7 linked regions of the Canis lupus familiaris genome follow. The protein of the gene in region 2 binds, or shares a complex with, the protein of the main gene of each other region. Links are inferred from orthologs where the notes say so. Each region holds a gene or a part of one and is shown on either strand. Other genes may lie near its edges.

The links.
Region 1: MED4 (region 2) and MED7 share a complex: the UniProt entries of both Homo sapiens proteins name them as parts of the mediator complex. The link is inferred for Canis lupus familiaris from reciprocal best matches to the Homo sapiens genes MED4 and MED7.
Region 3: MED4 (region 2) and MED21 share a complex: the UniProt entries of both Homo sapiens proteins name them as parts of the mediator complex. The link is inferred for Canis lupus familiaris from reciprocal best matches to the Homo sapiens genes MED4 and MED21.
Region 4: MED4 (region 2) and CCNC share a complex: the UniProt entries of both Homo sapiens proteins name them as parts of the mediator complex. The link is inferred for Canis lupus familiaris from reciprocal best matches to the Homo sapiens genes MED4 and CCNC.
Region 5: MED4 (region 2) and MED12 share a complex: the UniProt entries of both Homo sapiens proteins name them as parts of the mediator complex. The link is inferred for Canis lupus familiaris from reciprocal best matches to the Homo sapiens genes MED4 and MED12.
Region 6: MED4 (region 2) and MED13L share a complex: the UniProt entries of both Homo sapiens proteins name them as parts of the mediator complex. The link is inferred for Canis lupus familiaris from reciprocal best matches to the Homo sapiens genes MED4 and MED13L.
Region 7: MED4 (region 2) and MED25 share a complex: the UniProt entries of both Homo sapiens proteins name them as parts of the mediator complex. The link is inferred for Canis lupus familiaris from reciprocal best matches to the Homo sapiens genes MED4 and MED25.

The regions. Positions count from the first base shown.
Region 1 is NC_049225.1:53,888,346-53,891,693, reverse strand, and holds the end of MED7 (mediator of RNA polymerase II transcription subunit 7), read right to left. Parts: intron 1,932-3,348; 5' UTR 1,915-1,931; coding exon 1,213-1,914; 3' UTR 846-1,212; downstream 1-845. UniProt on the Homo sapiens protein: Component of the Mediator complex, a coactivator involved in the regulated transcription of nearly all RNA polymerase II-dependent genes.
Region 2 is NC_049243.1:3,373,154-3,376,163, forward strand, and holds part of MED4 (mediator of RNA polymerase II transcription subunit 4), read left to right. Parts: intron 1-708; coding exon 709-795; intron 796-2,044; coding exon 2,045-2,176; intron 2,177-2,367; exon of another isoform or gene 2,368-3,010. UniProt on the Homo sapiens protein: Component of the Mediator complex, a coactivator involved in the regulated transcription of nearly all RNA polymerase II-dependent genes.
Region 3 is NC_049248.1:25,930,342-25,934,907, reverse strand, and holds the start of MED21 (mediator of RNA polymerase II transcription subunit 21), read right to left. Parts: upstream 2,927-4,566; 5' UTR 2,908-2,926; coding exon 2,866-2,907; intron 1-2,865. UniProt on the Homo sapiens protein: Component of the Mediator complex, a coactivator involved in the regulated transcription of nearly all RNA polymerase II-dependent genes.
Region 4 is NC_049233.1:58,029,016-58,033,039, reverse strand, and holds part of CCNC (cyclin-C), read left to right. Parts: intron 1-2,690; coding exon 2,691-2,797; intron 2,798-3,900; coding exon 3,901-3,985; intron 3,986-4,024. UniProt on the Homo sapiens protein: Component of the Mediator complex, a coactivator involved in regulated gene transcription of nearly all RNA polymerase II-dependent genes.
Region 5 is NC_049260.1:55,682,028-55,686,524, reverse strand, and holds the start of MED12 (mediator of RNA polymerase II transcription subunit 12), read right to left. Parts: upstream 3,188-4,497; 5' UTR 2,983-3,187; coding exon 2,884-2,982; intron 2,343-2,883; coding exon 2,238-2,342; intron 2,027-2,237; coding exon 1,835-2,026; intron 1,698-1,834; coding exon 1,538-1,697; intron 994-1,537; coding exon 812-993; intron 623-811; coding exon 512-622; intron 375-511; coding exon 120-374; intron 1-119. UniProt on the Homo sapiens protein: Component of the Mediator complex, a coactivator involved in the regulated transcription of nearly all RNA polymerase II-dependent genes.
Region 6 is NC_049247.1:13,132,250-13,136,273, forward strand, and holds part of MED13L (mediator of RNA polymerase II transcription subunit 13-like), read right to left. Parts: intron 2,416-4,024; coding exon 1,478-2,415; intron 1-1,477. UniProt on the Homo sapiens protein: Component of the Mediator complex, a coactivator involved in the regulated transcription of nearly all RNA polymerase II-dependent genes.
Region 7 is NC_049222.1:107,412,593-107,417,200, forward strand, and holds the start of MED25 (mediator of RNA polymerase II transcription subunit 25), read right to left. Parts: upstream 2,976-4,608; 5' UTR 2,919-2,975; coding exon 2,785-2,918; intron 2,689-2,784; coding exon 2,643-2,688; intron 2,412-2,642; coding exon 2,287-2,411; intron 1-2,286. UniProt on the Homo sapiens protein: Component of the Mediator complex, a coactivator involved in the regulated transcription of nearly all RNA polymerase II-dependent genes.

The sequences.
Region 1 (3,348 bases), on a different chromosome or scaffold from region 2:
AGAGCCTAGTCCTCAGCCATTCAAAGACCCACCTGACTGAACTTTTATTATTTTCAAGTGGCTTCCAAAGTTAACCCAGATGTAGCCATCCAACCAGCAGCTGAGAAGAAAATGGAGGAACTTACAAAAAAAAAATGTTATGGGGGCACCTGGGTGGCTCTGTGGTTGAGTGTCTGCCTTTGGCTCAGGTCATGATCCCAGGGTCCTGGGATCAAGCCCCGCATCAGGCTCCCTGCAGGGAGCCTGCTTCTGCCTATGTCTCTGCCCCTCTCTTTTGTGTTTCTCGTGAATAAATAAATCTTTTTTTAAAAAAATTGTTATGCAAGAGGCCTGAAGTTTTGCACTCATATTCCATTGCTAAGAGCTTAGTCCTATGGCTGTATGTAGACCCAAGGAGTGAAAAAATGTAGACCCTGGCATGGCAGCCATATTTCAGGGGAACAAGCATCTCCAATACACAATCCAATTAGTAGTCTCTGCTACTAATCCCCTTCTCATTGCAGGCTCCCAGCCTTAGCAAGTCTGAGTACAGCTTTAAAGGAAATGTATAGCTAATTACATAGACATTTTACTAAAATGAATGTAATGAAAAGTATTCAAAGGACTTATTATCTGCAAAAAAAAAAAAAAACAAAGGACTTATTATCTGAGTGACTGGAAACAGGTTATGAGACCTACCCACGGTAGGAACAAGAAGCTGAGATAGTGGGTTTTCAGAAGCACTCAAGAGGGAAAATAAAATTGCTGTTTTATAAATCTATGGGGTTCCTCTCTTTTAACATGTTACACTACTTTTTTAGAGATCAAGTAAATTTTTAAGTAAAATAAATCTAAAGATTTTATAATTTCACATTTAAACAGCTTGATATCCTTTATTTATCTATCATTCTTAAATCAAATAACAAACCTACTTTTCAAAGATGAAAGCTTGCTATTACTGAGGATATCTTTAATGTTTTCTGCAACTCCAAAACCAGGATGTTTCACACAATTTCAGCACTTTGCTTTTTAAGGTGATTACTTTTAACGTATGCATATCCTCATTTGCCTATACTTGCCATAAAGTAAAATTACAGCCTGTGACATCTCATAATTGATAAAGTTAGAGTCAAGTCATTTACATGACTTCTAGTTATATCTCTTTTGAAACTCTCCAAAGCAAATTAACCATATATGCCATTTACTGAAAAATAAAAGAAAAAGAAACATCCTTCATGGTCTTTCATTCATTTCATCAATTAGGACACACAAGGCAGCATCCTTCTCTATTATCTGGTCTCTCCTATGACCTGAATTTTCTCTTTGCTGTTCACTCTGTCCAGTACAATTGTTGCTATCATCAGCATCCATTGGTTCAGTTTTTACTCTCATCCCTGCTTCAGAATGGGGCAAATCATCAGGCAAAGAAGCCAAGCAATTCTGAATCATCTCAATGACTCGTTCCAGATGCTTCTGAAACCGCTCAGCTGTTTCAAGGCGTTGACGTTTCTGCACCTCCATCATTACTCTCAATGTCTCTCTTGCTTGGTGCGGTCGGTATTCATTTATGAGATGATGCACATGTACAAAAAGCAGCTTAAGATCTTCTAGTTTCTCTTCTCGTTTTATACTCCCAGGGCTCCTTATCAAGATATCTAAGAGGTCTAAGAAATTGATAAGAATTGACATATTGAGTTTTCTCAGTTCTTTCTTATGATCAAACTGCATAGGATGAAGCCGTTCGATGCCCTGGCTTTCTAAAGGGCGGATGATAAGATCATCACATTGGAACTGATTGCCAAACATCATATAGCTGTCTTTTATTGGAGGTGGAGGCTTGGGAGCGAGGCCTTCCTGAATATTTTCATCTGTATATTCCTTGATGTACTGCATTGGAGGTGGTGGAAGGGCACTCACTTGTTGTGGCTCACCCATAGTGGAAGATCAAGAACCTATGGAAATAAGCCAAAGATTTAGAGTAGAGTTATAAAACTAACCTGTCACAGTGGGTGACTACAGACAGTATTTTTCTTATTTTTCTTTGGCAGTTTGGGGCACAGGACAAAACAATCCCTTTAGTTTCTAAAACAACATGGACAGGCTGCCATCTTTTTCTAATTAGCATTGTATCTTCAATCATCCAACTATTTCTCCTTCTTTGCTTAAGACTTTCATTGGCACACACAAAAAATATATGAAGTAAAAAAAAAAGAAAAAATATATGAAATATATTTTCATCTATAAATAAAATCTGGAATCCACAGCCTTCACTAATTACATCACTTTTCCACACCTCTCTATAGCCAAATTACACATGCTGTCTCCCCATCTCGTATCACAATCCTTTTGGTTTTATATTATAGATTGATTCCAAAAGCAAACACCTACTTATAAGTCTAATAACACTTTGACAAAATTAACATTGCTGTATTTCAGACAGCTGGTATCACCTGAGCTTCTTTGATGAAATGATGATCCAATTTCATACCTTTTTTCCCTGCAATGCACACTACATTTTCTTATGGACACGTTAACTTTAAACCGACCATACCTGATTTTCAAGGTGTAACACCACCATCCAACACCAAAGATGGCAAATACTACTACACTGGAGGCAGTTTTACATTCGGAATTTTGTGAGATATTGAGTAAGGGCAGCTGTGGAGCAGCCCTGGGTTTCTACCAAGCCAAGATGGTGAAAAGGATTTTTTGGAAGTGAGGTGAATGAGCAGGTTTGGTGGAGTTAGGAGGCAGTGCTCAAAGGCATCATGATCTACTATAACTTTACCAACTCATAATTCACTCCCCTGCATATTCATTTTTGTCATTATCCAAATTGGCCTCAACCTCCTAAATCCACAAAAACTATTCAAAGTCATCAACAATCACCGCAAATCCAATGGATATTTTTCTAAAGTGATTTTACTCAATCTTTCATCAGTATTTTCTTCTTTTTCAACACACTTCCCTTCTCCCTCAGCTTCCATGAGCCTACATTTAGGTTTTCCTCCTATCTCAGTAGCCACTCCCTCTCAATCCCGTTTAGTGCCTTTCCTCTACCCAAATTTTAATGTTATATGCCTCAGAGTGTTGCTCTGGGGGCCCTCTTCTCACTCTAAATTAGGGAATCAGAAATTCAAGTGCCAAAACTGCAGGTAACATAAACAGTGAAGCACTCTGGGACAATGATCCAGATGAATAAGCATGCCAAATCTCAAAGTCTCCAGCCATTAGCTTTCATATGGGAATGAAGACTCATTGCTCCCCAGTTTATTTCTTAAAAGAGGGCAAAAATCCAGATTTCATGCAGAATCTCTCAATTTTTAAATACTGGTAATTAGTTCTAGAAATGGTCAAGTCTTGTGAGGT
Region 2 (3,010 bases):
CAAATACATATATATACATATATTCTAAAACAAAAACCAGGTCATGCTGTATGTATTATTTAGCAGCTTACTTTTTTTTTTTTTTTTTTTAAGATTTTTTTTGAGTGGGGGGAGAGAGCACAAGGAATGGGGAGGGGTAGAAGGAGAAGCAGACCCACTGAGCAGGGAGCCCAGTGTGAGACACCATCACAGGGCCCTGGGATCACGACCTGAACCAAAGGCAAATGTTTAACCAACTGAGCCACCCAGGCATCGAGCAGCTTAGTTTTTAAATCTAATGAGTATATTGTGGACATGTTTCTACTTGGGTCTACTTCTTTCCTTAGGGTCACGTTAAGTCACAATTGAGTGGTGTAGTATGAGCTGCTGCTTTAATAGCTAAGCTGTTAATGCAAGACAAAACACCCTTTCCTGTGTCTTATTTGTGTTCACTGTTGCTTTCAGAACAGTAGGAATGTTTAATGGTAGTTAGAAATCAAGGTCAGTGGGCATTATCATGCTAATGTCCCAAATATGATGCTTTATCAGCTGTATTTTCTAGATGTCTTGTTCTTTAGTTGGGAAATCTTATATGATTTAACAATATACATATTAGTTTTTATTAGGGAAGGTAGGTAACTCGGATTATCCTATTTTCAGGTAATTTAAAATTTAGTAAGTGACTTGTAAGTTACTAGACTAACATGTTACTCTCTCTTCTTGACTCAGGTGCCATCTCCTCTGAAGAAATAATTAAATATGCACATAGAATAAGTGCAAGTAATGCTGTGTGTGCTCCACTGACCTGGGTTCCAGGTAAAAACACTTCTCTTTTTATTAGGTATATATGGTTTTGAAAATTCTTAGGTAACTATACTTAAAAATAGGAAAAAAGATTTAAATATAGGATATATTTATCCTTAGAAACATCCTCCGTATATTTTCATATCTTTAATATCTTACAAGTAATAATTTGGGTTATGGGTTTATCAGTTTGGTTTTCTGCAAAGCTTTTGCTATAGAGACTGTGTTTTTGTCCTTTTTAAAGAAAAATCATAAATTGATGTTTAAAAGTACGAGATGATATGTAATGATTCTAAGCTGTAGATTTATATGTCTGTAATACCCAGGCTGGCCAGAAGCCCACTTCTTAGAACCATTGGGATTTCGTCAAGGGTTCTGGCCTTGGAAACGAGACAGTCCCAGATCTTCAGTGATACAGTGAAGCACTGAGTGCTCACAAACAAACACATGGGACTGGAAAGAGCTGGAATAATTAGAAACAACAAAAAGGGGTAACAAACTACAACATACATTGACAGCACATAAAACATTTATAAGACAGGGACCTGCGGTAGAGCAGTAATCTTCTGGGAGGAGTGGGAGAGTATCTCAGCATCAGAATCTCATGATGGTGGCATTTCACCATACTAAAAACACTAAGATTAACTGCAGTTTTGGAGGTGAGTGATCTGGAGTAAGAAATATTACTAAAAAGTTGGTCCAAATCTGCCAAGTTTTCATTATCCCAAAACTATCATGATTAGAAATGAAAGCTCCTGATAAACCTCCACTGGAAAGTTCTAGGAATTAATCTCTAAATGACAAGATCAAAGAGGTTGATTAGAAAAAGTTTTAATTTAGGTAGTCCTTCAAATAAGCAGTCCTTTCTGTCTTGTAAAAAAAAAAACAAAAAAAACAAAACACCATATATTTATTCTCCTTCAGAGTATGTATCATTTGTTCTTACTAGGAAATGTGGGTAACTTAGAAGACTCAAGATCATTATTATTTTCTTAATTTGTCATCTAGAATTGCTAAAATGACACTTTTTTTTTTTTGTATGGAGAATAGTATATTTCTGTGCAGATTCAGAGAAGAAATGCATGTATTTTTAAATTTAATATATTATGCTCTTAATCACAATTGATAAGATGACCTTCCTGTATGAAAATTGAAAATATATTTCTGAGTTTTTCAAAGAGAACCAAGGAAAATCAATACTTCAGAGAAGGTATTGCTGCTTATTTTGCATAAGATTCAATTAAAAGCAGTCTTTTTTTAGGGGACCCACGGAGACCATACCCAACTGATTTAGAGATGAGAAGTGGATTATTGGGTCAAATGAACAATCCTTCCACGAATGGTGTAAATGGTCATTTACCAGGGGATGCACTTGCAGCAGGCAGATTGCCAGGTAATACTAATCAGAATGGGGTTTTCAAACACACCAAAGTTTTTAAGACATGACTGTCTGGCTGTTGAACAAGTTTGAGAGTCTAGACCCAACTCGTTTTAATAGCTAGGTTTTTTGCCAGTTATCCTGCTCTGTAGATCAAAAACTGTTCTAGTTGGAGTTTATGAAATTAGAACAAATTGATTTCTCTGTCATTTATTGATAGTTTATTTGCCTTGGCATTAGGCCTTTAATTATTAAAATCTAAACAGCTTTTTAAATAAAATTGTGAAATATACTGTACCAACAGAATAAGAAATATAAATGTTCATTTTAAAGAATACAAAGTGAAATCACTCTTGAAAAACTCCCAAGTTAACAAAACGAGTAACAACTTTTTACTTTTGAATAACTAAATAGCACTTCTGTGAGACTTGGGCTGTTTTGAATTTCAGCCTTCCTCAAGTTTTACATGTAGTTTTGCGTTATTACATTTATTTTGTTTCCCACCTTTTATCTTCTGTAGGTGACTTGTTTTGATTTGGTAGAACATTTAAAAAGTTTTTTAAAACTGCTTAAAGGACAAACTGAGAGCTCACTGTGCATTAGTTTCCTTTGATATCTTTGCCTTTTTCTCATTTGGGTTATTCCATATCCTGCCAGTCACAGGCCAGTCAGGAGGCAGAAACCACATAGTAATATGAACAAGGAAAATTTAAAGAAAATTTGGTACTGACTACTAAAGGGTAAAGAGAGCTGTTTTTAAAAAATAGAGCACTAACAGATGCGGGAAGCATCTGTGGCCCACTGGATGGCAGAGAGGCTGGAGGGGGTGTTCCCAGGCTGCAGCCGGCA
Region 3 (4,566 bases), on a different chromosome or scaffold from region 2:
GGCATCTGGGTGGTATAGTTGGTTAATTGTCCAACTCCTGGTTTCAGCTCAGGTAGTGATGTCAGGGTTATGAGATCAGGCCCTGTGTAGGGCTCCACTCTCAGCAAGGAGTCTGCTCAATATTCTCTCCCTCCCCCTTTGCCCCTCCCACTTGTATTCTCTCTCTCTCAAATAAATCTTTATTTTTTTTTAAAGATTTTATTTATTCATGAGAATACACAGAGAAGAGAGAGACAGAGAGAGGCAGAGACACAGGCAGAGGGAGAAGCAGGCTCCATGCAGGGAGCCCAATGCAGGACTCGATCCCGGAACTCCAGGATCACGCCCTGGGCTGAAGGCGGCACTAAACCGCTGAGCCATCTGGGCTGCCCTCAAATAAATCTTTAAAAAAAAATTTTTTTTTTAAATTTGAGCTCACCCCAACATGGCCTTTAAGATTAATCTCCAACCCTTCAGGCTATTTCAAAGCTTTCGATAATCTAAGTCAACTCTACTTCTTCATTTTCTACTAATTCCTTCATATATACCTAACTAGTGATAAATTCATTCCAGACTATACTGTGTTGCTCATGTTTTGCTACTTGTAATGGCACAGTATTAAGTGCTTAGAAGCTGTACAGATGTGGATTCCAATTCTGGTTCTAGTAACCTGAGTACAGTTTTTAATTTTTAAACTGGGAACATTTTCACATTACACCACTGTTCTGAGGAATAAAGAAAACACACAAGCATAAATATTCAACACAGTGGCTATCTGTTGTGTTCTTCAAAAGCTCTCTCAAGATCCATTTATTCAATAAATATTAAAAAAATCAACTCTATGACAAGCATTGTAATAAACATTATAATGAAACAATGAACAAAGGCACAGCTTCTGCCCTCATGGAGTTCTCAGGGGGTAAAACAAATAACTTTAATAATTTTACAAATAATTACAATTCAGATCAATGCTTAGAAGATTTCCTTTACTCAGTTCATATCACTCTCTATTCCAATTTACCTCAGCACTTACATTTGAAGGCGCTTGATTCATTATAAACACCTAACCAAATCCTACTTTTAAATTATTTAAATGTCTTGAGTATATGACATCATTCCAATTAGACTGTAAACTCCCCAAGGAGTATTTTTCTGTAAACATGAGAGTGCTTACATACACATTAGGCATTCACACTAGTTAACCTAGAGATTTCTCTCCAAAATCCAATTATCAGCATGCTTACCCTGGAGTCAAGGCCATATTCACTGTCTCCTATTATCTCTCTGGTTACAAGACATGTATGAATATGCAACATTTCTCCTAAAATAACATTTCTGCCCAGCAGCATCGTTACAATTTGATTCTGAAGAGCCTCAAAGTAATATCTCCCAGAAGGAAGTTGGCTGGCAGCCCACGCATGTCACCATAAAGTAGAATTTATCTTAGTGACTTCATCAACCTTTAGGGGCTAGCCCTCTCAGTCCTAAAAGGTCTTATTTTATTTACGGAGTAAGTCAGTTTTATTTTATTTTTTTTAAGACTATTTATTGAGAGACGGGGGGGGGGGGGGGGGGGGGGGGAGAGGGAGAGAGGCACAGACACAAGCCCACTCCATGCAGGGAGCCTGAGGTGGGACTCGATCCTGAGTCTCCAGATCACACCCCGGGCTGAAGGTGGCGCTAAACCGCTAAGCCACCCGGGGCCGCCCGGAGTAAATCAGTTTTTCACAAGTCGATTCCCCCCTCATTTGAAGTGAACAAAGATGGATGCAACAAGAATCCTAACTTCTTATCTTCCGGTGTGAAAAAAACTGGCAAGGGAACAGATACTTCGATTTTCCAGTCAACATATTCTCTCTCTAAAGACATTTGACCTGGGATATCAAATTATAAACAGATTGGCAGGCCCGGGTGGCTCAGCGGTTTAGCGCCGCCTTCGGCCCAGGGTGTGATCCTGGAGACCCCAGATCGAGTCCCGCGTCGGGCTCCCTTGCATGGATTGTACTTCTCTTTCTCATGAATAAATAAAACCTTAAAAAAAAAAAAAAACAGATTGACAATGAGAAATATAACTAATGGCAAACTGTTGAACTCTTTATGGTCATGAGCACATGAATCCTCTGGTTCGCATGTACTTTCCAGTCAGGCATAACAGGAAAAAAATAATAAGGATCAAAGTAAGGGGGTCGGCTTACAAGATCTGACCCTTAACAGAAAGTAGACTTTTTGCGACACATTAAAGACTTAAATAAATGGGAACATACGCAAGGATTAGAAGATTCACTCTCCTAAAGATGTCAGTTTTCCCCAAACTGATTGATGCCAGGGAGCGCCAAGAGATGGGAACGAGACCCTTTGTCTCTGGGAACCAACGAAGAGGAAACAGAATTTCTCACCTCACCATCACTCCAGGCTCAACCTGCAAAGTCCTGACGCAGGAATACTCTCGGCTGACATTTAACAAAAAAATATCCAATCGTCAGGAGCACAGTTTCTCCTTCGCGGCTTAACACTGATAAGGGAAACAAGGAGCTTCTGCCGCTTTCCCCCTTACCCCCGAAAGAGAAGTGAGCCCAGAAGTACGACTGGCAGTAAAATAAAACTGTTCCCAGAGAACAGGACAGGACCGTGACGCCTAAGTGTCCTGACAGAGAGACCCCCTACTTTTCCGGTGAAAGAGGCTGCTGCTCCCTCAGCTCTCCGCGAAGCCGGCAGCCGGCCTCAAACCTCCCAGGACGCCGCGCCGCCTCCCGCCGCCGCCAGCGCTTTCTGCGGAAGCCCTGCCCCAGTCCGCTCCCCACTTTCGTGTGTTTTTCCCGGGGCCCTTTGCCCTCGTTTTACCTTAAGAAAGGGGAAGACAGAGACCAACAGAGCAAAATCGCTCACCGAGTTCACCGCGTCCTGCAGCTGTGTGAGCCGGTCCGCCATGTTCCTCCTGCAAGCTCCGGAGGCTAAAGCAGCTGCTCGCTCGCTATTGGGCGGCTTCAGGAAGCGTCGTAGCCAATCACAGGCCAGCGTTCTCGGAGGGGGTGGAGTCAGCGGCCCTCCGCGCCCGGCGAGTAGAGCGCGGGTGGGACTTTTGCGAGGCTGTGTTTCGGGCAGCTCCGCCCGCGAAGGCGCCTCGCGGAGGTTATTTTGAGTGACTTTGGGGTGGGGGTTCCGAGTTCCTTCGTTTTGGGTCCAGCAGACTCGTTCTCGAGGTTTTCGGGTGGTAGACAATTTTACGGAGATGGTTAGATGCTGCAGTTTTTAGAAGTGATTTTCCCCATCTTCCCGTGTATATTCGTTTTTAAACATTGCCTTGAATACTTACGTTACTTTGGATTTCCAGGTGGATCACCAAATATATACACAGCAACCAACTCAGGAATACTTGGGGGTCGCGATCCCGATTTTAACTTCAACAAATCCAAATTAAAATTCACCAGGCAATCTTGGCTGTGTTAGGGTGTCTCCTCTGGGGGGGTGGGGGTGGAGGGGGTGATGGGCCACCCAGGTGAAGACTGGGTGCGTGCTTTAATTCTGAATGTGGGTGTGCTGGGGAAGCTGACACACATGGGATGGAAAGCGTCCAAAACAACTAAGCACTAAATCGAGCTGTATTGACCGCGTAAGAAGAAAATGGTTGGGGGCAGCCTGGGTGGCTCAGTGGCTTAGCGCCGCCTTCAGCCCGGGGCGTGATCTTGGAGACCCGGGATCGAGTCCTACGTCGGGCTTGCTGCGTGGAGCCTGCTTCTTCCCTCTACCTGTGTCTCTGCCTCTCTCTAATAAATAAATAAAATCTTAAAAAAAAAAAAAAGTTGGAAAAGGAAGGTTTCTATAGGCAAAGTGAGTAGCAGAAGAGTGGCATCTGGAGTTCAGAGGTAAGGTGTGAGTGCAGTTAACTAATAAAAATCTCGCTCCTCTGACAGCGAGGAACTCAGTAGAAAGAACAGAAGAAGGTTGGTGGAGAGGAGAGTGGAGGAGGTTCCTGGAAAATGAGCCTTATGTGTAGGTAAGGGCAGGGACAATTTTTAAACAGATAAGGTGTGCAATTTATACTTAGCCGTGAGACCTATTGAGGATTTAGTGTGAAGGAAGATAATAGGAACTTGGTATCTGGAGCACCTGGCTGGTTCAGTGAGTGGAGCATGTGCACTTGATCTCCCGGTCCTATGTTCCACGTAGCCCCAGGTTGGATGTGTAGAGACTACTTAAAAAAATAAAAAAAGAAAAGAAAAAACAGAACTTGGTATCTAAGGAAAGTTATAGCTAGGGGATACTGTGACAAGAAATAAACCTGGAATCAGCAAATGACTGGTTTGTGGACTTGGGATAGACATATACACCCTCCCTATCTGGCTGATTATCCCTGATTATCCTACTGGAGTTGGGGGAAGGTGGGAATTATCCATTGAAAACTCAATTTGTCACATTTGCCCTAGTCCTAGCTGGGAAGCGCTACTTCTACTTTACCATTCCTTCCCCTCAATCCCCAATCCACAGTATCTGCTGGGACCTAATTAGGAACCTCTCCAGGTGAGTAACCTACTCCCACATAATGGGAGTAATGAGAGATAGCTCTAATTTGTTTTAACTAATATGGGG
Region 4 (4,024 bases), on a different chromosome or scaffold from region 2:
AAATGTACCTTTGGGTTATCTCCATGGTAATAAAGTTGAAAGCTAAAACATTTAAAAAGCTCCATACCCACGTTATTTCATGGTTATATGTTTTCCCATTTTCAAGAGGATCTGCTACTGAAATCACTTCACACAGAAAAAAAGCTTTCCAGTTCTCTTTATGAAGCTACAATAACATTGATAAAATCTAGCAAAGGTAGCACTAAGAACAGTCTCCGTTTTGAATATTGATGTAAACATCATAAAGTATTAACAAGTAGAGCCTAACATCATACTAGTAATTTAAAAAAGGCAGTGATTTTGTAGAAATATAGTCGATATTAGGAAATATGTTAATAGACAGTGAAGGCATCAGAAGACGTCTATTAAAATTCAACATCTCTTCTTGACTAAAATAGGATGCTTTCTTAACATGGTAAGAGCATCAAAGCATGAATGATAAGAGATATTTAATGGTGAAACATTAGGAAAATTAGAGTGCCTGCTTAACATTGTTCTGAATTGCTACTCAATATAATTAATAGAATGAGATATAAAAAATGACAAAATTGTCATCCTATACAGATAAAATTAACCAGAAAATTCAGTTAATTGACAAATTATTATAAATAATATTTAATAAAGTGACCAGGGATCCCTGGGTGGCGCAGTGGTTTGGTGCCTGCCTTTGGCCCGGGGCGCGATCCTGGAGACCCGGGATCGAATCCCACGTCAGGCTCCCTGTCAGGCTCCCGGTGCATGGAGCCTGCTTCTCCCTCTGCCTGTGTCTCTGCCTCTCTCTCTCTCACTGTGTGCCTATCATAAGTAAATAAAAAAAATTAAAAAATAAAAAATAAAATGACCAGTTACAAAATGTAAAAAGTGGAAAGCTTTCTTTTAAATGAATGATGGAAACATAAAATACAATAACAGTGGGAAATATGAAATACACAATAAACTAAAGAAATGTGCGGGATCTATAGGAAGAAAATTTTTAAATTATGTAGTAGAAAATTTTTAAATTATGTAGTAGTAAAGATTTTAATAAATGGAGTTTGAATTCTAGTGTTGTAAAGATAGCATTTCTCCCTATATTGATGTGTAAATTTAATGCAATCCCAAACAATTTTGAATGAGTTTCCTTTTTTGGGACTTAACATACTTCTAAAGTTCAAGCCTTAGAATAATAAATGTAATAGAATATGTAGAAATTTTCTAAAGAATAGTAAGCAGCAAGGAGGGTATTTTCCATACCAGATTTCATTAATTTAATTTTTTTTCAATAATTTAATTTTATGTTTTAAAATAGCGTGGCATAGAAATAAGAAAAATTGAAAGAAAAAAGCCTTAAGTGATTGGAAAATGTAGGTGATTTTTTTTTTTTTTTAAGTCATTTTGTGTCAGGGAAGGCCTTCCCATTTGTGACAAGCATAACATCAAAGTACAATATGGGTTGGTGTTAAGTGTTCATATTTCTGTATTACAAATTAAATATTAAGAGATCATGAACTTGGGAAATGTTTTCAGTGTATTTGACAAATGATTTACTAACCATAATTTGCAAATTACATGAGAAGAATCTTTTAATCATGAAAAAGACCATCCCATTAGAAAAACTGTTGTTAGAATTACAGTGTACAAAAGAAGAACTGTATTTAGCCAATAAGGCCTGGAAAAATGTTTAACCTCAGAAGTAAACTAAAAAACAAAATCCCCTAAAACAGTAAGATACTACTTTGCCTTTAAGTTGTACAGTATTTAGAAGATTAACCGTAACCCATAGGGGGTTTAAGTATTTTAAAACACTCTCATGTACTGTTAATAGGAATGGAAATTGGTATGATGTATGGAATACAAACTGAATATGTAAAAGTTATCAGCAAAACCAACCAATCAGTTCTATTTCTAGGAAATTATTTTAAATATATTATTAACCAAATGTACAAGGGTGAAGTACAAAGATATTCATTAAAGTCTTATTTTTAATTATAAAAGATTATAAGCTACATATCTATTAATAGGAATTAACTAAATAAATAATCCATCCATAATGATGTGCAGCGATTTAAAGAGATGCTGAATAACAAATTTGTTGACATGGAAAGACTTCCAGTACATACTGAGTGACAAAGGCAAGTTGCAGAGTGGTTTTTTGGGTCATTTCAATTTCATATCTGGTTAAAAATAGTAGACTTAACTAGGCAAGTGGAGGCTATTAGTGTAATAAATTATGAAGCAGCTTTTAACATGATTGGAATTTGTGAAGTCGAAAAATTAAATACTGTAGTTACTCATGAACAACTAAGAAAAGATACTTCAAATCTAAGGTATCCTCATTTAGTGCCAAATAACTATACTATTATTTTATGTATCACTAGGAAAAAAATAAACGTGCTGCCAATTAAAAGCCTAAGGCATCACTGACTGTAAGATCTTTCTTGATATCAGAGTCTTAAAACCAATGCAAAAACAGTGTAAGGTAGTGAGAAAGAGAATGAAAAAGGCAAAATTAGAGTGGAATTTTTTCAGAGCATATTTACATTCATTAGTGAGATGATTCTCAGTTTCAAGAAATGTAGAAAATCCTGTCTTCAGAGTTTACTTCTGGCATTTTGTATTTCTTAGAATGTTCACAACTTGTTCAGTCTTAGAATGTTTTTTGTGACTTAGTTGATTTTCTGTAACGTGTCTTAACATCTTTGTTCTTGTAGTTTGCAATGGATTTTGGATAAACAAGATCTGTTGAAGGAACGCCAGAAGGATTTAAAGTTTCTCTCAGAAGAAGAGTATTGGAAATTACAAATATTTTTTACAAATGGTAAAAAAAATAAATAACTGAAATGGTATAGTTGTTTACCTCTGAATTAAAACTTTTGTATAGTGGGATCCCTGGGTGGCGCAGCGGTTTGGTGCCTGCCTTTGGCCCAGGGCGCGATCCTGGAGACCCGGGATTGAATCCCACATCCGGCTCCCGGAGCCTGGAGCCTGCTTCTCCCTCTGCCTGTGTCTCTGCCTCTCTCTCTCTCTCTCTCTCTCTCTGTGTGACTTATCATGAATAAATAAACAAAATCTTTAAAAAAAAAAAAAAAACTTTTGTATAGTAATCTATGGTGAGCTGTTTTAGTCCCTACTTAACATTTTTATTTATACATGTATTCTTTTCATAACTTATATTTATCTTTCTAAGTGATATAAAGTCTGTTGTGAATCTTACATGTCAGGGACACTCAAGACAGTTTGAAAGTGTCATTAATCTCTCTAAACCTTTATAATATGTTATTAAGTCTAATTTAAGATTGGCTAAAGCAAGTATTTTGAGGATAAATGGATTCTTTGGGTTGACCTCCTATGTTGGTCATTTTTATCTTACAAGTTTGCTTTGGAGGGAAGGGGGTTTAGACTCAGAAGATCCTTGCTCTGCCATGTAGCTTTGTTACCTGATCTTTCTAAAACCAGTTCACTTTTCTGCATACCCGCCTTTCTATTATTTTGAGAATTCATTATGGACTTTTTAATAAACTTTATAAAGTGGTAGTTGAGGTGAATTTGATAGCTGTCTAACATTTTACTTTTGCTTTTATTCTAAAGATAATATGAAAAAAAAAAAAAGAAAAACACTGAAAATACTTAGAAGATAGAGGGAAATACCTATCATTCAATCTTCTTAATATAAGAATAGTGTTTGCTTTGGGGACAGTTTCTATTTTTTATTGTTGTTTATGCATACTTATATTCTTTTAACAGATTTGCAAATCCTAGTCCTAACCCAGTGTGATCCAAGTAGAGCTTTAAACCATATGTAGGTTTTTCTCTTTGTTAAAAATTAATATAGTTATGATTTACCACATGAAAGTTATTGTTCAATGTTAATATCATAATGATAACAAAAGAACATTTAAAACTTTATTATTTTTCTTTTAGTTATTCAGGCATTAGGTGAACATCTTAAATTAAGACAACAAGTTATTGCCACTGCTACGGTCTATTTCAAGAGATTCTATGCCAGGTAGGACTTTTATTTTGAGATTATGTTACGCCTGTTTGA
Region 5 (4,497 bases), on a different chromosome or scaffold from region 2:
AGCAAGTGCTCCGTGCTTGTTCCTACCTCCCATTTAGAATCACCCCCATTCTCCAGGATGGGCATCCCACTCTTCTCAGGATGCCTCTTAATGCCTCCTTGGGCCCACCTGGCACCTACCTGAAGGATACAGCTGAGGCCAAAAACCAGGGGCCGGTGCTGAGGGCACATCAGTAGGTCACTAAAGGGTGTAGAGGGTGTGCTGCTGGTTGGGGGCTGAGGAGCAGGGGTGGTGGGCAGTGTGCTTGTCGACTGAGCGGATATAACGTGAGATGAGTGAGTGCTCATGCCGTCCAGTTGCAAGGCCAGTCTCCGGGTACAGAAGTAGGCAAGGCGGCGGGAGAGGTATGCAGACTGAACGAATTCCCCCGAGTACTGTAAAGACATGCCGATTAAAACCCCCAGGTCTCTACAAGGGACATTGAACTCACATCTTATTCCTCCTCAAACCCTCCCTAGGCTCCCCACCTTCCCCGCCCCCCGCCGCCGTGCCCCCAAATCCTAGGCCTTACTCGGAGCAGCAGGGGCAGCAGCAGTTTAAGCAATTCATCCTCTCCAGGACGGATTTTCTCAAAACACTCAAGTACCCAGGTCAGGAACTCGTGTCTGTCCAGCATTCCATCCTATGGTCCAAGGGGTAGGAAGAGTATTAGTTTCCCTGGGGGGGACTATTAGAGATAAGGCAAACAAAGTAAATGAAAGGAGGAAGAGAGCCACATCTAGGCCAAGCTGACAGGTAGACTCTGTCCTGGACTAGCAGAATGTGAGGCCAGGCTCCACCATGGCTTCAAGGGACATGCCCTTCTTCCTACCTGAAACATGAACATTGCCAGCTTCTCATTGTAGTCCCACTGCCGGATAGCCACCTCTATGTCATGGGGCAAGGGCCCTATAGTGGAACCACAGCCCCCACTGCCTGTGGGCCCTGGACGGTAATATTCAGCCATCTTTTGCAGCTGCTCCCATAAGTACTTGGTGATGATCTGAGTCCATTCTAGGGGAAAGACGGGAACAGGGGCTATTTTATACCATCCCTCTCCTTAGAACATCTTCTGTGTCCCTCTCCCATGCCCACGCCAACCACCCCCCAATTGCCATACTTCTAAATCCTATTCATCCTCCTAGGCTCTGGCCAAACGCCACCTTCCTGAAGCCTTCCCAGGTGTCCTCCAAAGAAAGTAATCTTTCTGTCCACTGAAATCTCAAAAAACCTTTCACCTGCTCTTTTGAGACACGCACACATACATACACATAGACACACTTTCTATGTTTAATTATGGGACTCATACACATGCCTTAGCATCCCTATCAGATAAGAAGCACCCTGATGGTGGGAATAAGGTACCAATCACCTTGACAGCCTGGGACATGTACCCAGTAGATACTCAAGGTACTCAGTATTTACCAATTGAGTGTAAGATGCAAGCAGAAACATCAGAGAGACCCTTAGTATTGAGGAAGGAGAACAATACCAAGGGTCTCTCTGTCACTCCTTGATGCCATCAGTGGTGGGACCCATGGTATTAGGAGGTACTCACCCATGAAGGGGTCAATGACATGTCTCTTCTTAACCTTGGTCTCAGTAATTGCTGCATAGTAGGCACAGGTCATCTTGATGAGCCAGGCGGCCCGCATCACAGGCACTGTGTATTTGGCTAAGTACCCAAAGACTTCTTCCTTCTTACTGAAAATGGGGACCTGGACAGACATTGTAAACAGTGAGATCTCTATGACTACCACAAGCTGGCAACCATGTAGCTTCATCTGGGAATAGGATAGTTACTTCATACCCATGCTCCCCACCTTGGCCTGGAGATCAGGAACTAGCACCTCACCTTTTTGGCTAGTTGTGTGAGTGGCTTGGTGCCAGCCAGGTCAGTGAACCAGGTGTTAATGGCACTCTGGGATCGTGCAGTCACCAGCCAGAAGTTGTCCTTCTGGTTCACTTGGGGCTTCCTGCGACCAGTGTCAGGGAGAGTGTTACAACGTAACTTCTCTGCAATAATGCTGCTGAAGTTGGAACTGATCTGAGGAAAGAAAACTATACTTCAGGGTGGGAAGAAGGGGCAGAGAGGCACTCACGCCTCTGACAGGCAAATACCAATGTGGCGGCATGAAGCCACGAAGGAACACTCAGCCAGCCATTCAGGTCATCCCTTTGGTTCTTCCCAACCCAGGGCCTTTGCCCCTCCTCAGATTCTTCCAGCCTTTTTCTTCAGCTTGGCAGGGTTGTCTCACCTTGGCAGGATTGAAGTTGACGTTCTTGGCACTGCCATGTTCATCCCCAGAGACAGCAGGCTGGTTATTGAAACCTTGTTTTACATTCAAGGCTGTCAGTTCATCCTGAGGCAGGAAAAAGACATTTTAGCTTTTCCTTTATTTTATTTTTTCCCCCTTGGGGGTGGTGGTGGTGGAAGAGGAGGGCAGGAGAAGAGAACAACGGAGGGGGAAAAAAGGTAGGAGGACTCTGAGTAGAGCAGATTGTTATTTAAAGCTAGGCCCTTATATTCCTTTGGACCCCACCCTCACCCCCACAGTCACTAAGATTTCCAACCACCCAGCGCTCGCTCAGTATCACTCTTCCTTGCAAGCTTGCAAGCAGCCGCAGCTCGCCAAGCTGCCTGAGACAACTTTCTGAGGTGTGTGTGTGTGTGTGTGTGGAGGGGGGCGCCTCCGGCGTGGCCCCTACATCATTCCCTATTCACACCCAAGAGCCTCCTCCCCCCCACCAGGTCCCACTCTCCTACACCAGCCCACTTTACTCTTAACCCGTTTTGGGACTTTGGCTCCCACCGAACCGCCCCGCCCCCCCCAACCATCAATGCTTCCTCCTCTGCCGATCGCCCGCCTCAGGCCCCTCGAGAGCCCCGATTTTTGAACGCACCTCCTTCTGTTTGGGATCTTGCGGGTACACATCGGGAGGGCCCAGCCGCGGCCGCTTCAGTGGCCGGTGTTCGTAGCTCAAGATCCCGAAGGCCGCCATCTTGCCCAGCCCGTAGCGCCAGAGGCGCCTGCCGGGGCCGGCTGAGGGGGGAGGGGGAGAGGGAACCGAAAAGGGGGGCGGCGGTTGCGAGGACCGCAGCCGAGAGACAACAGGGGGGACGTTAGAAACTCTCGATCGTTGCCGGAAACTACCGAGGAGAACCGAGGGACGCCGGGAACCGTCGGACAATACCGACTGCAGCGGGGGCGGGGCCCAGCCCGGCGTGGGGCGGAGCTCCGCGCGGCCGAAAATCAATTTCACTCCCCAAGTCTGTGACACAGCCTGGGGCGGGCCAGTGGGCCGGCGGGGGTGCGACCCCGCGAGGAGGCAGGCAGCCGCGGCGCCGAGCTCTGGCTGAAACTGGGGTCTCGGGGCTTCGCTGGGTTTTGGGCCTGGAATCGGTGCTCCAGTGTATTTGCATCAGTTAGGGACTCTGTCTTTTACTCTAAACCACTTCTTCCTTTCTGAGTTTCTGCATCTGAAAAATGGGTGTTCTGTTGCTTCCCTCAAAGGGCTATTGTGAAGATTAGAAACCTTTTGCATAAGAAAGTATCTATTAAACCCCTGAAAGGCCAGCCCTAATTCCTCAAGGTCTTTATAGTCTGGCACCGAGGTTCTTAACCTTGTCTAATTCACAACCCCTTTAAGATGCTGATGGATGGGATCCCTGGGTGGCGCAGCGGTTTGGCGCCTGCCTTTGGCCCAGGGCGTGATCCTGGAGGCCCGGGATCGAATCCCACGTCGGGCTCCCGGTGCATGGAGCCTGCTTCTCCCTCTGCCTGTGTCTCTGCCTCTCTCTCTGTGACTATCATAAATAAATAAATAAATACCTTAAAAAAAAAAAGATGCTGATGGACGCTTTGGCCCTTCCCAGAAAAATTACAGAGGAGTACAAAATGTTAGATACTTTGCAGGGACATTCTTAGAGCCCTTAAAGGTCATTAATGCATTCCTTAAGTGCCCACGAACTCCTGGTTGAGAAAGAGGCACCTACTAAGTGTCAGATACTTTCGGCCATCATCTTTAATCTGCAAACAGCCCCATGAGTTAGAGATTATAATGGTCTCCATTTTGCGGATGAGGAAGCTGATTTTCAAAGAGTGAAAGTTCACTTGCCTGATATCATTCAGGTACTGTGAGAGCTGAGGCTAAGATTTTTTCCTTGACTCTTGGGCCAGTACCCTTTCTGTGATGGCATTGCTCTTTAGAGAAAGGACAGAATGCTATAATAAAAGTAAGAGGGATCCCTGGGTGGCGCAGCGGTTTGGCACCTGCCTTTGACCTAGGGCGCGATCCTGGAGACCCGGGATCGAATCCCACATCGGGCTCCTGATGCATGGAGCCTGCTTCTCCCTCTGCCTGTGTCTCTGTTCTCTCTCTCTTTCTCCGTGTGACTATCATAAAATAAATAAAAAATTAAAAAAAATAAAAGTAAGAGATAACAACACATTTAAAAATAACAAAACTAGCAAACAACAAATCAAAGTAACACCAACAAAATGCTATTGAATCACA
Region 6 (4,024 bases), on a different chromosome or scaffold from region 2:
CCCACCAATGACTTATTAGGGTTCTTGGGATAAAGACCCCAGCCCCAGCAGGTCTCAAATTGCTCTTGGGGATCTAGCCAGCTCCAAGTTTCCTTCAGTTCTTTGAAGATGTATGTATTTATTGGGGGGGGGGGGGGAACAGAGAAGGGGAAAGACAAAGAATCTGGAGCAAATTCCAAACCAAGCACAGAGCCTGACTTGGGGCTCAATCTCACAACCCTGTGATCATGACCTGAGCCGAAATCAAGAGTCAGATGCTTAATCGACTGAGCCACCCAGGTTCCAACCCCCTTTAAAAAATGAGAGAGAGAGAGAGAGAGAGAGAGAGAGAGACAGAGTCATTCGGTTCTTTGAAAGAACCAAGCTCTATACAACTCTATACCACTCTTGCTGTTCCTTCTGTCTGGGATACAATTCCTTGCTCTCTAGCCTCTTCATTTTTTTTTTTTTTTTGAAATTTTTATTTATTTATGATAGTCACACACACAGAGAGAGAGAGACAGAGACACAGGCAGAGGGAGAAGCAGGCTCCATGCACCAGGAGCCTGACGTGGGACTCGATTCCGGGTCTCCAGGATTGCCAAAAGGCAGGCGCCAAACTGCTGCACCACCCAGAGATCCCCTCTCTAGCCTCTTTAGCCAGTTAATCTGTACTGGCACTGAGATCTCTAATGTTACTACTTCTTCAAGGAGGTCTTCCCTGACCCCCAGTCTAGGAAGGCCCTCCCACTCCATGTTTTTTTTTCTAATTGCTTATGATGGGTTTCTAATATGCTAATCTGTGTTATTATTTGCTTAATCTGATGTCCATTTTCCAGGACAGATTAGGAAGTCCCTCAGAGAGGTATCTTGTCTCTTTCAGTCATTTTATCACCCAGGATGCATCGCAGTATAGATGGTGAATGAAGAAGGGAAGGGAAAAGCAACTTGCATGGCATGCTTAGAGCTCAACATCACAGATATTTGTCAACTGGAACTTTTAATAATAGAAGAGTCAGTGACGTGCCTCAGGAACCATAACACAAAGTAAACTGTGATCATTGTTATAAGAGATGCAAAATACTGGAAAAACAGGAAGGAGAAAATGCTCGGTAAATGGGTAGAAGGTTTCATGGAGAAAGTATCACGGACAACTCATCTAGAAGAATGGGTGAATTTAAACACGCAACGTGTGCAAACTATTCGTCTGTGTACTCCCGATGATGCTGACACTTAGCAGTTGTAGGTTTCCCCGCACTGTCTATAGGAATTAATAGAAGTCTTCACAAAATAATTACTTGCCTCAAAGATGTTTCAATATAAAACATTTGCTCCAATCCTTAAATTCAGGAAGATTTTCAACAGAGATCTTACTTTCTTTTTTTTTTTTTAAGAAATAAAACTTAAACTTCTGTCATATAACAAACTAAAGAAAGTTTATCATTTGCCATCATGCCAAGATAATTTTTAAAGTAAATATGTATTCTGGGAAACCTACCGTTACTATGAGGCCAAGAGTGTACAGTGGCACTTCTCACCAGAGCTTCATCTACTTTTCCACCTGTGGGATTATCTACATACTGTCGGCCCTGCTCCAAGGCATTAAAGCATTCCGTCCAGTAATCATTATTATCTGCTTGTACCCGGTCATAACTCCAGCTTACACAGGGAAGAGTCTGACGACTGTTAGAGGAAATATAGTCCAGGAAACTCAGTGAAGCAAAAGGTTGTGTATGTTGATTCTGGAGGAGGAGGAGAAGGCTTATAGGTGGCTCCTGGGATTTTCTGGCTCCTTCCATCTGAGGAAGGAAGGTAGTCTGACACATCATTAAGCGCCTCTCCGCAGCCTGACCAATATCAGAATTCTTCCCAAAAATATCCAACTCATCTTCCAGGAAGAGTCCCGAATTATAGCCAAGTTTACGATTCATAATCGCACTAAACCCACAGGTACAGCGATATTGGTCCTCATTGGAAGAGTCAGGGATGTAAAGCCCAACATCCGCCCCTTTGATGTTCATGTTGCAGGCACAGATGCAACAGCTGTCAAAATTTCTGTCTTTAAAGATATTCATCACAGAATCTGAGAGAATCAGGGTGACATAGAGACTGTGGGCTTCAGGAATTGGCTGCATGGTGGCAGGCTCCACAGAGTTAAGGGGCCGTGTGGTAGAGGGGGTAGAGGCTGGTGACCCCTGATCGGTGCTATCATATTTAACTGACCCTTGACCACTGGCAGTGCCCCCACCTCTGGGAGTTCTTGGGGTCCTGGGGGTTCGTGGTGTGGGGACGGAGAAGCGAGGGGTTGCTGGAGATGGCAAAACTCCTGCTCCACTGTTGCTGGCTGGGGCAGCGCTGTTCAACGTCACTGGTGTGTTCATCTGTGGTGTATTCAGATAGTCTGGATCTGCTAGGCTCCCGACACTAGGCACATTACTGCAACAGAAATACCAAATGAGAACAGGTGCGTGTCACAGATGCTGGAATACACACACTATTACCCCACCTGGCCTGCACATTTACCATTTATGCATGCTATCACTAGGTATATTCAATTTTTTCTTTAAAAAAAAAAAAAAAGGATTCAAAGGAGTCAGTAAAGTACATGGGAAAGCAAGAAACATGGCATGAAGAATAACACACTACAGCATTTTCCTTCTACTTATTCCACATCTAAGCAATCTTCATGTTAATCTTTCAAGGGAACTTTACTGTTTTTATAAGAAAACATGGTGCTAAAAAAACAAACAAACAAACAAAAAACAAAAAAGAAAACATGGTGCTGGGTTTGGTCAATGAGTTTTGAAAACTTAAGTGGAACATTAACACATGAGTTCAGATGCTAAGTTAGCTAGAAGACCATAGGGTAAAATTTCCATCTAATTTGCAATTACATTTTTGTCATTTTTTAAAATTAAAAGTCTACCACTGTATTTGTCCTCTGAGGCTATAATCCATTTATGACTCTAAAGCAGTTACAATCAAACACATAGGAACATTTGCAATTTTTCTAATTTTCAAAACACAGTCCTGTCTAGGCTTGCATTTTTATAGACTGAGTGGCCATGAAGGAATTCAATTATAGGAAACCCACTAGCTACTACTACACTGTAATTAATGCCAATATCACATACATAGCTAGGAGACCTCAATATTAATTATATAAACTGCATAGTACATATATTGTATCATAGCTTCCAAACTTCTCTAACAGATTTCTGTGGGGCAGTAGACAATTTTAATTCATTTTTAATTTTCTTTTTTTTTTTTTTTTCATTTTTAATTTTCAATATGCTATGCATTACCTATAGCACAATTATTTTTAGTTCCCCAGAGACTGATCACATTGTGCTATCTTTTTTTCAAAAGTAATGACTTCTTTTTGGACTAGCCACACACACACACAAAAAAACAAAACAGGGTCTATAATGTTCTGCTATTCTATTATTGTAAAAAAATTTTTTGATATACATTCTTAAATGTACATGTAAAACAGCAATGGACCATTCCTTCCAATTAGAAGGTATCAAAAGAATACTGATTTCATCTAATACTTAATATTTTCTTGGAATCTCTTAATACTGTGCTTAAACTAATGTTCTTCCAATAAACTGCATATTCATTCACTTATAATTTGAAAGAAGAATGTCATAAAGTAATGGCTCTTCAAATAATTTTCTTGTGATGTTTAATTAGCTATGCCTAAACTACCAGCTTAAAAATCCAAATCAAGCACTAAAAAGAAAAACTGAGGCACAGTGGTATCTTTGAGTACAGATAAAAAATGACCCAGAAAACTTGATTAGCAATCACTGCTATCTCAGAGACCAAAATAATAAGTGTGTAATAATGATCTTTACTCTAATTGGACTCCTTTCAGATTTTCCTATTTGACAAAACCCTAAAATTATTATACAGTTCAGATCAGAAAAGGAAACTACAACTACTAAACTGAAAACCTAAATAATTAAATTGCTCCCTAGGTAGTAAGAATGGTTTAGTTTGTATACCAACCTGATTTTTCCCATTCAATAAAAACGAACTG
Region 7 (4,608 bases), on a different chromosome or scaffold from region 2:
TGAAGCTTATAGTTCACTGGGAAGAATCAGAGTATAAAGTGCATTCAGGGGGCGCCTGGGCGGATCCATCAGTGAAGCATCTGCCTTTGACTCAGGTCATGATCTCAGAGTCCTGGGATTGAGCCCAGGTTTCGGCTTCAGGCTCTCTGCTCAGAGGGGAGTCTGCTTCTCCCTCTCCCTCTGCCACACTCTGTCTCCCTCTCAAATAAATAAGTAAAATCTTAAAAAAAAAATTTATATATATATATATAAAATGCATTCTGGGCATTCACTCACATATTCCCTCATTCCACCCAGTTCTCCTTAGACCGCCCTGGTGCCAGACCTTGTGCTTGGCGCTAGGGACTTAGACATCAGACTTGAACTTGGGCATCAGGGAGTCCCGTCTTACCATTATTCATGTCTTAAAACAACCTATCTCGGTACTTCTCATTTGGGGTGGATTTTGTCCTTCCCTACCCCCTGCCTCAGGGGACAGCTGACAATCATCTGTAGACGTTTTTGTTGGTCACAACTTGGAGGTGGCTCTTGGCACCTGGTGGCTAGAGGCCAGGGAGGCTACTGAACATCCTGCCATGTGGACAATCCCCCACAATAATGAATTATTTGGCCCAAAGTGTCAACAGTACTGAGGTTGGGAAATCCTACTCTGTCCTGACTACTAGTTCTAATGGCCATGAGGGGTCAAACTTGGGTGTCAACTTCCCAGTGGGCGTGCAGCACCTAGTCCTGCACACACATAGCCTGGAACAGAGCAGGCACTCAGTTTGCTAAGTAGCAAACTCTTGCCGTACAAACGAATGAAGAGAAGAGCCATCATGAACCAGTGCCGTTTCATGAACTCTAACCACAGACCAGACCTGGGCTAGGCAGTATGAAGGCACCATAGGAAAATTAGTTCCTGTGATCCTCCAGAGAGCATGGACATTTGAACTACCATTATCTATTCACAAACCAAGAAACAGGCATGAAACAACAGTGAACACTAACATAGCACTTAATACATGTCAGGTGCTGTTTTAAGTAGTAGCCAACTAACTCATTCAATTCCCAAAGAATGCCTATGCCTATGAAGTCATGGTAGCTAGCACCCCCCACCCCCAACAATCCCCACCTCCTGTTATTCACACCCTTGAGATTCACCTCCCCTCATGCTCCCTGCACTGAACAGGACTGACTTCTCTACCAAACAGAATGTGGCAGAGACAACGCTGTGTGGCTTCTAAAACTCGATCATAAAAACTCTTGTAGCTTCCTCTTTGCCCTCTCTGTTGTGTTGCTTCGTCTGAAATAAGCCAGCTGCCACGTCAGGAGAACATTCCCCCAGCCACAGAGTGAGCTACCTTGAAAACAAATTGGTCCCTTGCATGACTGCAACCTCATGAGGCCCTGAGCCAGAACTATCCAGCTAGGCCAGTCCTGAATTCCTTACTTACAGAAATGGCATGAGATAATCAACGTTTATTGTTTTGAGCAACTAAGTTTTGGGATAATGTGTTACACAACAAAGAATAAATAACACAATAAATAATTAACACAAGTACTATAATGTTAATCCCCCCCTTTAAAGAGACAGGAGATAGGGACGCCTGGGTAGCTCAGTGGTTGAGCATCTGCCTTTGACTCAGGGCATGATCCTGGGGTCCAGGATCGAGTCCCGCATTGGGCTCCTTGCAGGGAGCCTGCTTCTCCCTCTGCCTATGTCTCTGCATCTCTCTCTGTGTCTCTCATAAATAAATAAATAAAATCTTAAAAAAAATAAATAAAGCGACAAGAGATAAACTACATTAGGCACAAAGGGAGCAGGGACTCTTGGGTCTGGGAGTTTGATGGTTTAGCTGTGATATGACCACAGGCTATCTGTACCCGCGGGAGCCTGCAATGTGAACATTCCAAATCCCATTCAGAGCACAGAGAGATCTATCCTGGCCTAGGCCCCACGCCCCCCTTGCACTCAGGCTTCAAGAGGCCCATGTGAAATAGGAATACTACGGTGGAGATGAGGAACAGCCGACCAAATGCGGAGAACCACACAGTACGAGATCGGAGCTGGAGCTCAACAGGCCTCCCAAACTGAGAAGATTTTTCTACTTCCACATCGGAGGGCAAAAACGCTGAGCACACGGAACCCACCACAGAAGTGACTTATGGACAAAAACAATCCCTCTCAGTCCTTTCAGCCACCCAGTGTGAGCGACGGTTCCTGAAACTCAAGTCAAGCCGCCATCCGTTCATGGTCCCTCACAGGGTCCCCCAACCCACCCCCTAACACAAGAAAATGCTCACTTAATGCCATCGAGCCAGGTGACAAACTCATAGGCGCTGCTGGTGGGAGCGTGACACTGTACGTAGGACTCGGGAGCGCAGTCCACCGTGTTGAACACCACGAGGCTGTACTGGGTACCCCCATACTGGGAGAGGAGGAGGGAGGAACTTTTCATCTGGAACTCCCGTCCAGCTCTTCCGCCCTCCGACTCAGGAGTCCGGTCCTGGACTCCTCCCCACTCAGACTCTGGAGTCCATCCCCGGCCCCCTCCGCCCCTCGGACCCTGGAGTCCGGTCCCCGGGCTCCTCCTTCCTCAGACTCAGGAGTCCGGTCCCCGCCTCCCTCCTTCTACAGACTCAGGAGTCCCAAGACTCACGTCTCCTCCGAAGTCCGTCTCGGCAGGAGGACCACCATTAAAATACCTGCGAGGGTCGGAGGTAAAAGGTCGGGGTCAGGCAAGAGACTGTGGAAAACTAAAGTCGGAGGGCCGGGCTGGAAGTCGGGGAAACGGCACTCACTCGATGGCCGGAAGCAGGTAGTGCTTGCGCAACCCTTCGAAGTAAGGCCCCAGGTTGGCTGTACCCTCGATCACAAACACCACGTCAGCCACGAGGCCCCCGGCGCGGGCCGGGCCCTCCGACCCGGGGACCATGCCCCGCGCAGCAGCCGCCACCGCCGCCACCGCCGCGGCCGCCGCAGCCGCTGTGGAAAGAGCGGAAGTGCGCCTGCGCTGCGCGCCCCCCGGCGCGGGACGTCTTAGCGCCGCGGCTCGGCGCGCCCGCGGCCATGTTTGTGCGGGGCACGCAGGGCGCGCTGGTTCTATCTCCATCCTCGTAGGTACCCGCCGCGTGCAAGATTAAGAGCATAGCGAACCCCTTCAGGGGCCTGACGGGGAAGATTGGGTCATTGTCAGGACTGTGGAGAGTGACATACATGGAGAGAGCCGTAGTCGGCCGCCATCTTTGAGCGAGGCGCCCGCTCCGCCTCTGGTTTCAATGGGAGGGGCCGGAGACCTGGTTGCTATGCAACGCATACGCTGCCCTAGTTTTCTATCGGCGAGATTAGGTTTCTGGTTAATTTTTTTCTGCCGCGGAGAGATGGGGGGAGGGTCGTGTGAAGGGTCCAATCACATCCTCTGAAATGGCGCTACTAGGCAACGCTTGGGGTTGCCGGCCACTCGGAGGGGAGTGCAGCTGTTCTTCCCTCTCAAAGAAGCCCAATTCCAACCCAAGTGGCGGTTGCTAGGCAACACCTGATTGTTGTTTTCTGGGAGAGCGGCCAGAAACTAGCCTAGAACATAAATACATTCCAGGTGGATTAAAAATGTAAATGCAACAAATGAAACCTTAAAAATAGCTGAAGGAAGAAAGGAACACACCGCATAATCCTGAAGACTGGGAAAAGAGTTTATCATCATAGCAAAGCCAGGAAACGTAAAATATTGATCAATTTGTTCAAAAGGCTCCATAAGCCAAGTTGAAAAAAAAATATGATAAACTGGGAAAGTCGTTTGTAACATGTATTGACTGAAATTTTACTACATAAATATAACTTACTCATCAATAAAAACGTAGGAAAAGAGAAATACTTTTTTTTTTTTTTACTGGTATGAAGGCTCTCTCTTCTCCCATACAAAACAATTTAAAATGGCAATTAAACCCCTGAAAATTGCTTATCTTCACCAATTAAAAAGCATTTTGCTTTTGTCGTGCTAATTAATATCGGAAAGAATGATGCCAATGAAGTCGGGGGAGTTTGGGCTCAGACATAGTCTAGAAGGGGCTGTAAATCAGCATAACTTGCCCTCCTGCCGTTTGGTAATGTACTTCAAGATAAAAGGGTGCATTCCTCTTGCATACAGTTATATCACCATTTTGTCACATTTACCTTATCCGTCCCTTTTTGCTTTAATTTTCTTTGCTGAAGTCTTTTATTATTTTTATTCTTTTTAAAGACTTTATTTGAGAGAGACGGATTGAGATAGTGACAGAGATAGCAAGAGAGAGCAGGAGCAGGGAGGAGAGGGAGAAGCAGGCTCCCCACTGAGCAGGGAGACTGACTGACTACACAAGGCCCAATCCCAGGACCCTGGTATCCTGAGCCAAGCAGAAGGCAGACGCTTAACCAACTGGGCCACCCAGATGTGCCTGCTGAAGCCTTCTAAAGCAGAGTCCCAACATCCCATCATCATTTTACCTCTATCTGCTTGGCAAACCTCTCTAAAAAGTTAAGGATGGGGAGCCTGGTGGCTCAGATGGTTGAGCGGCTTGCCTTTGGCTCAGGTCATGATCTCTAGGTCCTGGGATGGAGCCCCAGCCAGGCTTCCAGCTCAGCAGGGAGTC